Canis lupus familiaris: one gene and its partner. The protein of the gene in region 1 interacts with the protein of each later gene in a pairwise test. Links are inferred from orthologs where the notes say so. Each region holds a gene or a part of one and is shown on either strand. Other genes may lie near its edges.

Evidence for each region.
Region 2: the proteins of PDIK1L (region 1) and C5H1orf174 interact in binary tests that used the Homo sapiens proteins (3 or more experiments, as listed by UniProt). The two-hybrid records come from large-scale screens. The link is inferred for Canis lupus familiaris from reciprocal best matches to the Homo sapiens genes PDIK1L and C1orf174.

Annotation. Positions count from the first base shown.
Region 1 is NC_049223.1:73,255,580-73,263,020, forward strand, and holds the start of PDIK1L (serine/threonine-protein kinase PDIK1L), read right to left. Parts: upstream 3,944-7,441; 5' UTR 3,697-3,943; intron 3,339-3,696; exon of another isoform or gene 3,200-3,338; intron 3,109-3,199; exon of another isoform or gene 2,915-3,108; intron 1,309-2,914; 5' UTR 1,292-1,308; coding exon 1,007-1,291; intron 1-1,006.
Region 2 is NC_049226.1:58,836,646-58,844,297, forward strand, and holds the start of C5H1orf174 (UPF0688 protein C1orf174 homolog), read right to left. Parts: upstream 4,162-7,652; 5' UTR 4,022-4,161; coding exon 4,007-4,021; intron 1-4,006.

The DNA.
Region 1 (7,441 bases):
CATCTATAATGATGATAATAATAGTACTATCCTCATAGGATTGTTCTGAGCAGCTGCCTTTAAAATACTTAGCAGAGGGGCACCTGGGTGGCTCATTGGTTGAGTGTTTGGCTTCAGCTTGGGGCATGATTCCGTAGTTCCGGGATCGAGTCCCACATCCAGCTCCTTGCATGGAGCCTGCTTCTCATTCTGCCTATGTCTCTGCCTCTCTCATGAATAAATAAATAAAATCTTTTAAAAATAAAAAACAAAACACTTAGCAGAGTGTGGAACTGAGTAGGAACCCAAATGTTAGCTCTTAGCACTATTAATAACATTCTAGTGTTGGGACACCTGGGTGGCTCAGCGGCTGAGCATCTGCCTTTGGCTCAGGGCATGCTCCTGGAGTCCCACATGGGGGATCCTGCATGGAGCCTGCTTCTCCCTCTATGTCTCTGCCTCTTTTTCTCTATGTCTCTTATAAATAAATGATATCTTAAAAAAAAAAAAAAAAAACATTCAAGTGCCATGCCATATACTTCATGAAAATTAACTAGAGTTGCATGGTTAAGAAACCACACAATCCTCTAAAATAGAGGAGGCTTATATTCAAACCAGATTTATTTTAAAATGCCCAATTATCTATATGGGTGCTGCTGATTATGGAGTTTTTCCTTTTCTTCTGGCTTCAGTTCCAAAAAAAAAAAAAATTGATTTCAAATAGGTGAATTTATTAGACTCTAATCTCGATCACTTCTCTAGCTCCTATGTTGTCCCATTCCCATGCAGACTGGCAAGTATCATGGCATAACAGGTGGCTTATGTTATTTTTAGGTATTTGCATCACAGGTTTAAATAAAACCTTGTTTTAAAGAAAACATCTACTCAGTTCTTGGCAGACCCTTACCTACTCCTAACTATATAAACACCTGTATTTAAAGTAAAAGTTCACTCAACACTTTTGTTCCTCTTCTTGCTGACCAATGTGAAGTTCAAGTCATTTCTATTTCCCATTAACCATACATACCTGTAAATAAAGGGAAGAATTAGAGCCGTGGGACATTTTTTGCACCATCCCATCTTTTTGTAGGATGCATTCCTCCAAGTGAATCACATTTGGATGTTGGCTCTTGATACTGCTTAGTGCCCAGAACTCACGCAGGGCTAGTTCAACATTTTCAGGTGCATGGCATCGAATTTTCTTCACTGCCACCCGTGCAGAGGTCTTTCTGATGACTGCTTCATACACAACACCGTAACTGCCTCGGCCTACCTCCCGTATTAGATCGTACTTTGGCTGGCTACTCACCATCTTCAAGGTCAAAGTTTCTGGAAAATCAACAAAGTGCTCTGTTGAAATTAAGTATACTTACTGGTTTGTATACCTTCTTATGTATGATTTAATTATCTGTCTCACTGTTTGCAATGCTTGAAAAAGATTTGTTATATCATGGGCAAATCTAAATATTTGAATAATAATAATAAAGCAGCTAACACTTTGGTATTACCATGTATCAGGAACTGTTCCAAGCACTTTTAATCCTCAAACAATATTATGAAATAGATGTTATTACAATCATTTTATAGTTGAGAAAACTAAATCACGAAGAATTTAAGCAACATGCCTAAGGTCAAACAGCTACTAACTGGTAGACCTGGGTTTTGAAACCTGGCCACTTGGCTCTGACATTCATAACCATAACCATTACACTATACCGCCTCTTGCACAAACTGCTTCAAAATATTACTGTTAAAAATAAACCAAAGAATTAATCATTCTTATGATGAGCACTCCACTGCTTCTCCTTAAAGCTGACACACACAAAAGTTCATAAACATGTCAAAACGAAAAAAACCCTCTCACAGAAATATAACTGGCTTGTGCTTAGGGACTGAAAGTGAACCAGGTTACATATAGAACTGAAAATATGTAGGTTTTTTTTTTAAAAGTAAACAAACTGTATATGTCCCTATTTTAATTTTGCTATTTCTCATTTCTTGCAAAATAAATGAAGTTTGTGGAGAAAAAATGGTCCTTTAAAAATAAAGCAAGCTACTTAGAATATTGTTACCTTTCTGTTGTTAAACACCTATTTAGATGTAGGCCATTTTTGCCACCAAAAACTGTCCTCTATATGATGGGGCTCTTGGACAGGGTGCTTTCAAATTCAACTTGATAAATCATTTAAAGGCTTAGAAGCAAAGGCCTGACACAGAAATGCTGGTGAGTTGAATCAAGAAATTCTGAAGTGTGCCACCTCATTCTCCAAAGAATGTTAAAATCCTCACGAGTTTCTGGAACAGATTCTCATTTGTAGATTGCCACGATGGGCAAGAGATTGTACAATCTTTACAGCGTGCAGTTTGGAGAGGAGGGGAAGAAGCTATTGGCTGTTGAGCTTGAAAAATTGGGTACAGCTACTTTAAGTTCATAGGATGGATTTAATAAAGAAAATGAAAGCTTCTGAGATTACTTCCTTGGTCCCACTTCCTCTAACTGGAACCCCCTTCAAATTCCTGCCGCAATTCCTAGCGCCCGATGCCCTGCCACGGACGCCTTGCCCCAGGTCCACCCACGGCGCTCTCCCCTGCTCCCCGTGGAGCGCCAATTACTCTGCAGCTCAAAGCGGCTCGTCTCCTGCAGGCTGTCCCATGGCCACGCGCGAAAGAGCACCCGAGTAAGGGGGAGGGGGCGTTCACGCAGCCCCTGGACGCGAGCCCCCGCGGCCGGCCGGCCGGCACTTCCCCGGCCTCCCGCGGGCCCCGCCGAGCCCGCGCACGGCCGCCGGCGGGCCAGGCCACACACCTGCCGGCCCGGGAAGGGCCAGTCCCGGGCAGAGGTGTTGCCCGACGCGGCGGCTCAGCGCCCCGCTCATTGGCCGAGTATCAGGCCCTCCCCCTCCCCGGCGGCGTCCAGAGGAAACCCGGAGGGGATCCTCCCGAGGCCCTTCACCCCGAGGAGCCAGTCCCGCGGCGGCCCCAACTCCTCGGGGCTGGCGGCTGAGGCCCGGGGCCTGGGGAGGAGCCCAGGGGCAGAAGAGGAGGCCGCAGCTGGCGCCGGTGGCCTGAGGGGTGCGGGCCGGAGGCCTGAGCAGCGCGGGGCCTTCCGTAGGATGACTCCGCTGACAGGTCTGTGACAGGCCTCCCGGGGAGGGAGGCGCATGCAGGGTCCTTGGCTCTGCAGCAGGGCCTCGGTGCCAGGCCTAAGGGCCAGATTTACCTCAGGGTAGCCGCCGCCGCTTCTCCCTCTCACGGGCGCTGCAGGCCGCCATTATCGGGCAGCTCGCGCCTCAGCCGCCGCGGCCTCCAGTCAGAGACCGGCGCGCGCCCCCGTGGTGCGCGCGGACACACCCCCTTACGCCGTGCGGCCCCGCCCCCCTCCGGCTTTCCGTAGCGCGAGCCGGGACGCCGAGCGCCGTCCCTATTGGGCGCGCGCCCCGCGCTCCGCCGGCCTCCTCCCTCTCCTGTGGCTCGCGGGAGCCGGGAGTCGCCGAAGGTGTGCGCGCCCCGGAACGCACCACTAGTGCCCCTCCCTGCAGGGGTGGCCGGGCCCGGAACGGGGAGGCCGCTGCCCGCCGGGGCTCGGTCACCGTCCAGCCGCAGCGAGCGCGCACGGCCCGCGGCCCCGGGGGACGGTCTGCGGCAGCGGGTCCGGGCCTGGGGGTGCGCGCGCCCGGCGCGCCTCCCCGCTGCCTCCCCGCCCCCCTTCCCACCTACCGAGCTGCGGGCAGGTGTGCGGGGGTCGCTGGGGCGGAACGCCTGGTGCATCTTCTTGGGTTCGGGCCTGGGGTTCCTGCGGGCCGCGGAGCTGTTCGGCTGGCCCGCGGGGAGGCGCGGCCCGAGCTGGGAGGCCTGGCGTCCGCCCCGCCGGGAGGGAGGCTGCACCTTTTGTCAGAGTCACTGAGCCATGTTTGCGGACGGTGTAGTTGCCCAGGCGGCGGCGGCGCGGGACTGGGTGCGATCATCCGGGAGGACGCCGTCCCCTGCCCCGCCGGCGCGGTGGTATCTCCCTTAAAGAAGCCGGCGCCTCATTGTTCCCGGGCCGCGGCCGCGGGGAGTCGGGGGCGCCCTGCCCGGCGCGGGGCGGGAGGGACGACGGCGCCCGCACCTGGCCCTGCCGGGCGGCGGCCCCCGCGGGGAGTCGGGATCCAGCCGGCGCGCGGCGACGGGCCGCGGTATGGGGCGGCCGGGGGCCGGGGTGGGCCGCGGAGACAGCGGTTCTCTCGCGGCCCGGCGGACAGCGGCCCCTCAGACCCCGGCACGCAGTCGCCTGACAGCCGGCCCGAGACTGTCGGTGGCTCAGAGACTCGGACCAGCCCAGTGTTCAGTCAGTCACGCGGCCCAGTACGCGTCCGCCTGAAGCGTCCGTCCCTTCCTCACTACTGAGTTCTGCACCTGCTGTTTGTCAGTAGAGTGGTGGTTCCTCTCCGGTGCGGTGCGGCGTTAGGCTCCACGTGCGGAGATTCCCTGTCGGTGCTCTCAAGATCAGCCACTTACCCCTTTTATTTGCTGTCCTCTATTTATGGACCTTGTCCAGAGAGTCTGGGACTGGGTTAGGTCTTTCAATTAGCTTTTCTAATCCTGACCAAATCCCACAGGGTAGGCTTCATTACTAACCCTGTTTTACAGGTGAAGGACACAGATGCTGCCTTATTTGACCAAAAGTTGTGTAGTTTGGGGCGTGTGTGTGTGTGTGTGTGTGTGTGTGTTCCGGTGTACCTGCCTTGAATACCCACTCTCCCGGTGTAATTACCCCGCTAAAAAACCCAACAACACCCAGCTCTGTCATCTATTAAGACTTTTGTCCTGAGTATCATAGATCAGTCTCCATCAGCTGTCTGCTGGGGTATTGATGCCAGCCAAGGCTTAGTTTCTGCCCTTCAAAGTAGAGGGAAACTATGGAAGGCCTTAATGCTTGTGTGGGTAATTGATCAGAATCAGGAGAGTGGTATCTCCTTTGGTTAGAAGAGCTTTTTTTTTTTTTTTTTTTTTTTTTTTTTTTTTCCTTTTGTCTGTCTCGGTCATTAACTATAGGAATCCCTCTTCTCAAGCTGACTGCAGAACTGAGACTTGAAATTCAATTTGGGAACTCCTAAGATAGGCTGACTAAAGGTTTTTTTTTTTAAAAAAAGATTTTATTTATTATTTGACAGAGGAGCACATAAGCAGAGGAGGTGGGAGAGGGAGAAGCAGATTCCTTGCTAAGCATGGAACCAAATGTGGGGCTCCATCCTAGGGTCCTGGGATCATGACCTGAGCTGAAGGCAGACTGACTGAGCCACCCAGGAACCCCAGGATGACTAAAGATTGTGAAGTGGATTCAGGTCATACAGAGCCTGAAGCTTAAGAAATTTGAGGTGTTTTTTAAGAAAAAGATTACAGAACGGTCCCATGAACACATAGCTGGGGCCTTGGAATGTGTCTCTGTAAGGCAGGGTCTCAGGCTTAAGCTTCATTAGCTTCGGGGTAAATCTGCCTCTGCTTATTACAAAATATCATTATTAGTTTGCCCATAGGACTTCTACTAGACTTGAGAGTTCCTGGGGAAAGGAACCTTGTTTATGATTCATTTCTGAAGCCTCCTCTGTTATGGTACCAGAATACACCTGAGGGTAATACTGTCCTACATTGCTTGTGGGAAGGCAGAATGATGTAACTCATTAAGAATATTTCGCACACATAGCCACTTTACATATATATTTACTATTTCACCTCGCAAGTCCTAGGTTAAATCCTAAATTTCTAGGAATCAATCCTAGTGATATTTTGGCAAAAATACAAAAAGTTGTTCATTATGGTACTTTTGTAGTAAAAGATTGGAAGCTGCTCACATGGCAATAAAGAACTGGCTGAATAAATTACAGTACATGCACAGAATAGAGTGCTATGCAACGATAAAAAGATATGTGGGAGACTTCTTACATATACTAATAAACATGCTAATCTGGAGTGTTGTCCATATATATTGTTAAGTGAAATAAGCAAGGGGCATAATAGTGTTTACATCACCCAATAATGGGATGATATAAATAAACGTTAATTGCTTATATTCAAAAGTTAAACAGAAGAATAAACTCCAGTCTTCTAAAAATGGTTTCCTTTGTGGGATGGAGAGGGTAGACATGTAAATGAGACTTCTGTGAATGTACCTTATTATATAGTGACTATTTTGGAAGCTTGTAAATGTTTTGCATATTTATAAAACAAAATTCAAGAAAAAGAATAAAACACTCCATAAAAATTAGAAACAAATGAGCCATCTGCATGGTATAACTACACAGAGAAAATAATTTCAAGTGGCTTTATAAGTCTTTTGACTGTACCTCCCTAATGGGCTATAGTCTAAGGACAACTAGAAGTGCATACAAATATTAAATTTCACTCATTCGTCTTGTTATAGGTAATATTGACATTGCTGGGGTCCCTGGGTGGTGCCGTTGGTTAAGCAGGGCCTCTTGGTTTCGGCTCTCGTGGTGAGATCAAGCCCCATGTTGGGCTCTGTGCTCAGCACAGAGTCTGCTTGAGTTTCTCTCCCTGTCCCTCTCCCCACCATGCCCTCTTTCTCTCTCTCAAATAAATACATCTTTTAAAAAAAGAATATTGACATTGCTATTTTGAAACTATGATAGATATATTTAAGGATAAGGCAAATAAGGATGTTAATAACATTAGGCATCAAGATTTTCAACATATGAGAAAAAGAGTTAATATTAAAACAAGCCTGGGGCACCTGGGTGGCTCAGTTGGTTAAGCCTCTACCTTCAGCTCAGGTCATGATCCTAGGGTCCTGGGATCGAGCCCCACATTGAGCTCCCTGTTCAACAGGGAGCCTGCTTTTCCCTACCCCCTCTGTTCATGTGCTCTCTTACTCTCTCTCTCTCACAAATAAATAAAATCTTAAAAAAACGAGCCTAGGATGAGGTGTCTGGGTGGCAAAGTCAGTTAAACATCCTACTCTTGGTGTTGGCTCAGGTTGTGATCTCTGGGTTATGAGATCAACCCCCACATCAGGCTTTGCACTCAGTGTGGAGTCTGTTTAAGACTTTTTCTCCCTCTACCTCTGCCCCCTTCTATGCATGCCCCCATGCATGCTCTCTCTCTCTCTTTCTCAAATAAATAAATCTTAAAAAAATATTAAAGAAGCCTAGGGGGCAGCCCCAGTGGCTCAAAGATTTAGCACAGCCTTCAGTCCAGGGCGTGATCCTGGAGACCCGAGATCAAGTCTCACGTCGGGCTCCCTGCGTGGGGCCTGCTTCTCCCTCTGCCTGTGTCTCTGCCTCTCTCTCTCTCTCTTTCTGTGTCTCTCATAATAAATAAATAAAATCTTTTAAGAAAAAATAAAAAAGCCTAGGATAATCTTATATCTGACTTAGCAGAATGAATGAAGTTTGTATGTTCCTCTTAAAAAAAAAAGTGTTTTCTGCTGAAAAAGCCTAGAAACAATCACCAATTCAGTAATAAT
Region 2 (7,652 bases), on another chromosome or scaffold:
AGGGAGCAGAGCCTGCAGAGATGCCGGAGGTGTCCTCCTCCCTGCCCTGTATCAGCACACCTCCTGCAGCCCTTTCCCCTCCAAGGAGGGAGTGGCCACGTTAGCCCCAGGCCACCACCTGTCTTCTCTTCCCTGTTCTAAGTCCTACTCCCAACACTGTCCCATGTGACTGCTTAGCTGGGGGTGCGGGACTGGCCCTGACTACAGCTCCCAGTGTCACTGAGGTCTGACAGAGGACTGACAGAGCAGGCGCTGTGCTTGAATAGCTTCCAAAGCAGCCTTCTCACTTTAGAGTGAAGATGGCTCCAGTGAGGAGCCTGTTTGAGGTGACCCAAGTGACATGTGGCCTCAAAGTCCTTCTTGCCCTGCATCATGTCACAGGGCTCTCCCATCTATGAGCTCTAAGAGCTGCCAGCATGCAGCTGCTTGGCTACTCCGCACGGGCTGGGCAGGGGAGTGGCTGTCCTGGCTCTTATCCTTCCCTCTTTGTCCCCGAGGCAGGGACTGTAACCCGGGGGTGCACTAGGCTCCCCGAGGGGGCTTGTTCACCTTTGACTTTCCAGGCCCCCTTGAAGAGGCAAACTTGGGGGCTCCGGGTGGACACTCAGGGGCTGTGGTTGTTCTGGGTACCACCTGCCATCCACGTGAGAGCTGCAGTCAAGTCTGGCAGCTTGCTGGCTTGAAAGCAGTCACAGCTGCCTCCTCCCCCAAGGTACAAGCTCCCACTCTTGGTTAAGGATGGAGCAGTTTCTTGTCTCTGAGAGCTGGTTGCTTCCACTTAATCCCCAAATGAGAAACTTCTCATTGTTGAGGTCTTCTGCCTTCCAAGCAGACTGCTTAAAAAGTGGGATGTCAAAGGCAAAAATGTGGCTTCCCAAAGGGCAGGACAAGATTGATGTCCAACAGGACAGCATGAAGAGCCCTGTTGACCCCCCATAAAACTGGCAAGAAGGATGAAAAATCATTGAAGACTTTTGGAGATGGTCCTGTGGGCAAAGAGCAGATGAACAATCACTCAAGACCTCCTATAACTCAGTGGTATTTGAACTCTAGACTGCCAGTGCTGAGAACACAGGTGCCCTCCCACTCCCAGGCGGAAGGGTTTCCTCCCACACGGGGCAGGATGTCAGCCTTTCTCATTCTGCCCCGACCCCAGCTGTGGGTAGAGGCTCCACCCTGGGCAGAGCACTAAGACTGGGACCCCATCACCCTAGCCCTTGCTTGTGGAGGTGGTTCCAGACCAGGAGAAGCAAGCCGAGGGGATCTCGGGCTGCTGCCAGCACCCCCTCTCCCAGAGCATTCAGAATCAGAAGTGTCATACAGTGAAGCCTGTCACTGTCCCAGACGGAGCCGATTCAGAGAATGCCTGAGGAAAAGGCAGACACTAAAACAGAAACTCTTAATCTCTTCCCCAAGGAACTGACTTCATTTGTGAGAGGTGTGGAGAAGGTCATGCCTAAGGCGGGTCTCTAGAACAGAAGACTGTGGAGAGACAGTTAGACGGAGAATCAAGATCAACTTCAGGCCACATAGTCAACTGAGCAATTTATGCCCCAGGCTACTGTGGAAAACAACTGAGCAATCAAATGGCGTTCAATGGGAGTTTAACAGCCAGGTGTGGTAGGAGAAGGAGAGGAAGCTGGCTTTCTCCATCCCAGTGTGCCTGTGGGCTGCCCAGTGTGGCCTTGGAGGGCAGGTCCAACCTTTGCCCGGTGAGGGTAGGGTGGGGGGACGAGTCCAAGAGGAGAATCTGCCTGGTCACTAAACAAAGCCTGACAAGAAGCCACGGAGTGGGGGTGGAAGCAGGAACCCAGAATTCCTACATTATCTGAAATGCCCAGTTTCAACTACAAATTATGGAGCACGCAAGAAAGCAGGAAAGCAGGCCCTTGCACTGGAATAAAGGCCACCAACAGAAGTGCCTGTGAGAGTGACCAGGGTTGAGGTTATCAGACAAAGCCTTAAAAGTACCCATTACGAACACGTTCAAGAGCTAAAAAACGTTCAAGAGCTAAAAAAACCACAGCTAAAGCACTGGATAGAGAAAAAAGAATCGAGGACACACTGGACACAATTAAGGGCACCAACATATGTGTAATGGGAGCCTGAGGAAGGAAAGGGGCAGAAAACATATGCAGAGAAATAATGGCTCAGACTTCCCAAATGTATTGAAAAACCACCACCAACAAACAGGAGTCTCCAAGAACCGAACTCCCAGTAGGAGAAATGCAAGGAGCTCCATAAAGAGACACTGCGGAGAGCCAAAGACAAGAGAAATCGTGAAAACGGCGGGAGAAAACAACTCCTCACTACAAGGGAGCTGCATAGACAAACAGTTAACTTAGCAGAAACAACAGTTAACTTAGCAGAAACAATGGGTCTCGTCAAACACATCCCAAGTTCTCAAAGAAAAAAATCTGCCAACGAAACATCGTCCATCTGGAAAGCTATCCTTCTGGATGACAGCAAGACACTCCCAGGTACCAGAGAATGGCGGCCAGCAGAGCTGTCTTACAGGAATCCTCAGGGAGGTTCTGTGATCCGGGATGGGAGTTCATGGTCATAGAACAAGCACCAAGTCCCTACACTAGTACCTCCTTCCTCTCTTCACGGATTTGAGCAGCAGCTGACGGCGTATAAAGGTGCTGTGTTTGGCAGCAACAGCACAGCGGATGGGGTGGAGGCACGGCCGACCTGCGCAGAGGAATGGCCTGCAGACGGAGAGACCATGAGAGCAGGACTGCCGCGTTTCTAACGGGAAAGGATGGAGGAGGGAACAGGCACAATAACCCTCCAAGAGAGGTAAAGGGAAGGTCCACTTTTATATCTCACTGGACTTAAGCTGATTCCACTAAGTTACGGGACATGGCAAAACCTAGAGCAACTGCTGGGAGAAAAATATTATAAAAAAGTGAATAATTAAAATGCTACAGTAGAAAATATTCATTTTAATGCATTTAAACAAGGAACAGAAGAAACCAAACGTATTTAAAGAAAACAAAAGTAAAATGACAGAATGGTAAAACGGGGGTCCGACTTTAACGTGAACTGGTGGGGGCGCGCCTGGTGGCTCAGAGCTCAGGTCAGCACCTCAGGGTCCTGGGATGGAGGCCCCGAACCGGGTGTGTGTTGGGGGGGGGGGCCTGCGCAGCGGGGAACCTCTCTCCCTCTGCCCTTCCCTCGGTGCGCTCTCTCTCAAATAAGTACATAAGATCTTTAAGAACGAATGAATGAGGACGCCCATAAAGACTCCGCCCCTCCCCAGGACCCGGCCCAGCCCAGGTGCCCAGGGCCAGGGCCCGGCGCGCGGTCAGTCGCCTCCCACCCTCCTGGGCCAAGCTGAGGTCACCTGCTGAAAAACCAAGTGGCTTCAGGGGCGGCGGCAGCGCTCGGGGCTCCCGGCTGGTTCCAGGGGAGACCCCGACCCAGGGCACGGGACCGTGAGGACCGACCCGCCCCACTCCTCCGGCTGGTCTGGGAGACCCCGACCTGGGGTACGGGACCCTGAAGACCCTCCCCCCGATGGCTGGTCTGGGAGACCCCGACCCGGGGTACGTGACCCTGAGGACCGTCCCCCCGATGGCTGGTCTGGGAGACCCCCCCACCCCGACCCGGGGCACGTGACCCTGAAGACCCTCCCCCCGATGGCAGGTCTGGGAGACCCCGACCCGGGGCACGTGACCCCGAGGACCGCCCCGCCCCCTCCCCTCCCCCGGCTGGCCTGGGAGACCCCGACCCCGACCTGGGGCGCGTGACCCCGAGGACCGCCCCGCCCCCCCTCCCCGGGCTGGCCCGGGAGACCCCGACCCGGGGGGGCGTGACCCGGGGTGCTCCCCCACCCAACGGCAGGTCTGGGAGGCCCTGCCCCGGGGACGGCCCAGGGGGTGCCGACCAGAGGCCGCCCCTCGGCCCCGGGCGTCCCGCGGCCACTCCTCGGCTCCCAGACAACGGGTGGCCGGAGCCCCAGCCGCCTTGGCGCAGCTCCTGCACGGCCTAGGCCCCTCACCTTCCGGCTCCTCATGAGTGTGAGCGGCGCACTGCCGCCCCCAGCACCGCCCCAGAACCCCGCGTCCCGACCTAACGCTTCTCAGAGGAGCCGCAGCCCCGCGGTGCTCGGCCCGCGCCCCCGGCGTCTGACGACACCAGCAGCTCGGCCAATCACAGCCCGGCGTCCTCAGGCACGTGACCCAACAAAGTCGGCGCTGTGCGCAGCGGGCGGGGCGACGGCCAGGTTTTTGAGGGGCACCCGGCGGGCTTCCGCTGTGGCCACAGGACTTAAGAGGGGCGGCGGCCATGTTTGTGAAGGGCACCTGCTGGCTGCTCCTGTGTTCACAGCATTTAAGGGTGCGGCGGCCATGGTTGTGAGGGGCGCCTCCGAGGTCACAGCATGGGGGTGGGGGGAAAGGCGGCCATGTTTGTGAGGGGCACCGCCTTGGGCGCCGGCCACGTGTCTGGAGTAAGGCGGGAAGTGGTTGTCCGCCGGAGGGCGGTCTCTCTTCGCTCTCCGGGGGGGCGGGCTTCTGGGCTCCGGTCCCTGGAGTCCGCGCGTCGCGGCAGCGCGGGAGTGCCCGGCCCGGGGGCTGCCGGCTGGCGAGTCCCTGCGGGCTTCTTCCTCCAGGTCGGCGGCAGGGACTACACGACCGGCCCGGGCTTGACCGCTGCGGGGACCGCCTCTGGCCCTTACCCCCGGGCGCGGACGGCCTCGGACGGCGCTTCCTCCCGGGTCACCCGGCGGGCGGCTCCTCCGCGGCCCCGGCCAGCGCCCGGCCTCCCGGCGGCGCGGGGACCCGACGAGCCCAGGGACGCCTCCCAGAGTTTAGACGGACGAACCCAGGCTCGCTAGGACGCCCAGGCCCAGCGCTGAGGGCGAGGACTGCTGCCTGGAGACGCCGCTGCACCGCCCGCCAGCCTCCCCGCGGACTGAGGGCCGCGCGGTCCTCGGGACCGACCCCAGCTGAGGGGCGCCTGTCCGTCCTCGCGACCGACCCCAGCTGAGGGGCGCCTGTCCGTCCTCGCGACCGACCCCACCTGAGGGACGCCTGTCCGTCCTTGGGCTATCAACCCCCAGGTCTGAGGGACCCCTTTCCGTCCTCGGGCCATCGAACCCCAGGACTGAAGGACACCTGTCCCTCTCAGGCCATTGATTCCCCAGAACTGAGGGACACCTGCCTGTTTTCTGGCCCATCCCCCCGCCCAACACTGAGGGATACCTGTCTGTTCTCTGGCCTATCGGCCCCCCCAACACTGAGGGATACCTGTCCGTCCTCTGGCCCATCAACTCCCCCAGGACTGAGGGACACCTGTGTGTCCTCTGGCCCATCCGGGACTCCTGTCTGTCCTCTGGCCCATCGACCCCGCCAACACTGAGGGACACCTGTTTGTCCTCTGGCCCATTGATCCCGCCAACACTGAAGGATACCTGTCTGTCCTCTGTCCCATCCACTCCCCAACCCTGAGGGACACCTGTCCATCTTCTGGCCCATCGACCGCCCCCAACACTGAGGGACACCTGTCTATCCTCTGGCCCATCAACCCCCCCAACACTGAGGGACACCTGTCCATCCTCTGGCCCATCCGCCCCCAATACTGAGGGACACCTGTCTGTCCTCTGGTCCATCGACCCCCCCCCAACACTGAGGGACACCTGTCTGTCCTCTGGCCCATCGACCCCCCCAACACTGAGGGACACCTGTCCATCCTCTGGCCCATCCGCCCCCAATACTGAGGGACACCTGTCTGTCCTCTGGTCCATCGACCCCCTCCCAACACTGAGGGACACCAGTCTGGCCTCAGGCCCATGGACCCCTCAAACACTGAGGGACACTTGCCTGTCCTCTGGCCCATCGACCCCCTACAACACTGAGGGACACCAGCCTGTCCTCAGGCCCATCGACTCCGCAAACACTGAGGGATACCTGTCTGTCCTCTGGCCCATCGACCCCTTCCAACACTGAGGGACACCTGTCTGTCCTCTGGCCCATTGACCCCCTCACTCCCCCACCAGGGCTTAGGGACACCAGCTCTTCCTCTGGCCCATCGCCACCCCACCCCAGGACTGAGGGACACCAGCTCTGTCCTCTGGCTCATCGAACCCCCCAACACTGAGGGACACTAGTCTGGCCTCTGGTCCATCACCACCCCACCCCAGGTCTGAGGGACACCAGTCTGTCCCCTGACCCATTGGCACCCCCCCCAGGACTGAGGGACACCAGCTTGTCCTCTGGCCCATCGACCCTCCCCCAGGGCTGAGGGACACCAGTCTGTCCTCTGGCTCATTGACTCCCCTCTCCCAGGACTGAGGCACGCCAGCTTGTCCTCTGGCCCATCGACCCTCCCCCAGGGCTGAGGGACACCAGTCTGTCCTCTGGCCCATTGGCCCTCCCCCCAGGACTGAGGGACACCAGCCTGTCCTTTGGCCCATCAGCCCTACCCCCCCAGGACTGAGGGATACCAGCTTGTCCTCTGGCCCATTGACACCCCCCAGGACCGAGGGACACCAGTCTGTCCTCTGGCTCATCGACTCTCCCCCACCCCGCCCCAGGACTGAGGGACACCAGTCTGTCCTTTGGCTCATCGACTCCCCCCACCCCCTGCCAGAACTGAGGCACGCCAGCTTGTCCTCTGGCCCATCGACCCTCTGCCAGGGCTGAGGGACACCAGTCTGTTCTCTGGCCTGGCTGGCCGCTGCCCCTCCAGGACTGGCCTCCTGGTGGCGCCCCACAATTGCAGCAGCCACCGTAGGTGTGCTTCGCCATCCAGGAGAGTGCTGGTTATTATATTTTTACAGGTGAGAACATTTAAAATAGGCAGTTTTGTCAGAAGCATTAGATTTTCCAGTTAACTGTAAAGGTCGAAAAGTGACCTGTGTTGTGCTCGGCCCCATGTACTGCTCGAGGGTCCCTCTGCGCGTTGTTCCCCAGCACACGTGCTTCTTACTCTTCTCTCCAGGCGCTGACTCCTCTGCTCCTGGGGACCGCCTCCCTCAGCCTGGAAATACACCCAGTGAGCCTATCTAGTGCATAAATGTGAGCGCCCCCCCCCCCCCATCCCGCCGCTGCATACCTGCCCTGCAGACTAGGTGGGGCCCCTTCAGGCAGATCCCCCGCGGGCTGCTTCTGGCAGCAGGTGAGGACACACGCGGGGCTATTGTGCACGCTTCTGCGCTCACGCTCACACTCATACATGCGCTCATGCTCCCACGTGTGTTCACACTCAGGTACTCATTCTCTCCCACGTGCTCACGCTCACGTGTTCACACGTATTCACACGCACTTACATATATGCATGCTTGTCCCCCGGCCACTGTCTGGACCCTCCTTCCTTCCCAGGGTTGTGTTTTTGTTGTTTTTTTAAGATTTATTTATTCATGAGAGACACAGAGAAAGAGAGAGAGGCAGAGACACAGGCAGAGGGAGAAGCAGGCTCCATGCAGGGAACCTGACACAGGACTCGATCCTGGGTCTCCAGGATCACGCCCTGGACTGAAGGCGGCGCTAAACTGCTGAGCCACCCAGGCTGCCCTAGGGTTGTGTTTCTAGCTGCATGTTTTGCATGGTCTGTGTGAAAGGAAGACAGATGTGCTTGGGCAGGAAAATCTATTTGAAAAGGAAACCGATAAGGTCATTGCCAGCTGTTGGAGGGAAACCCAAGGC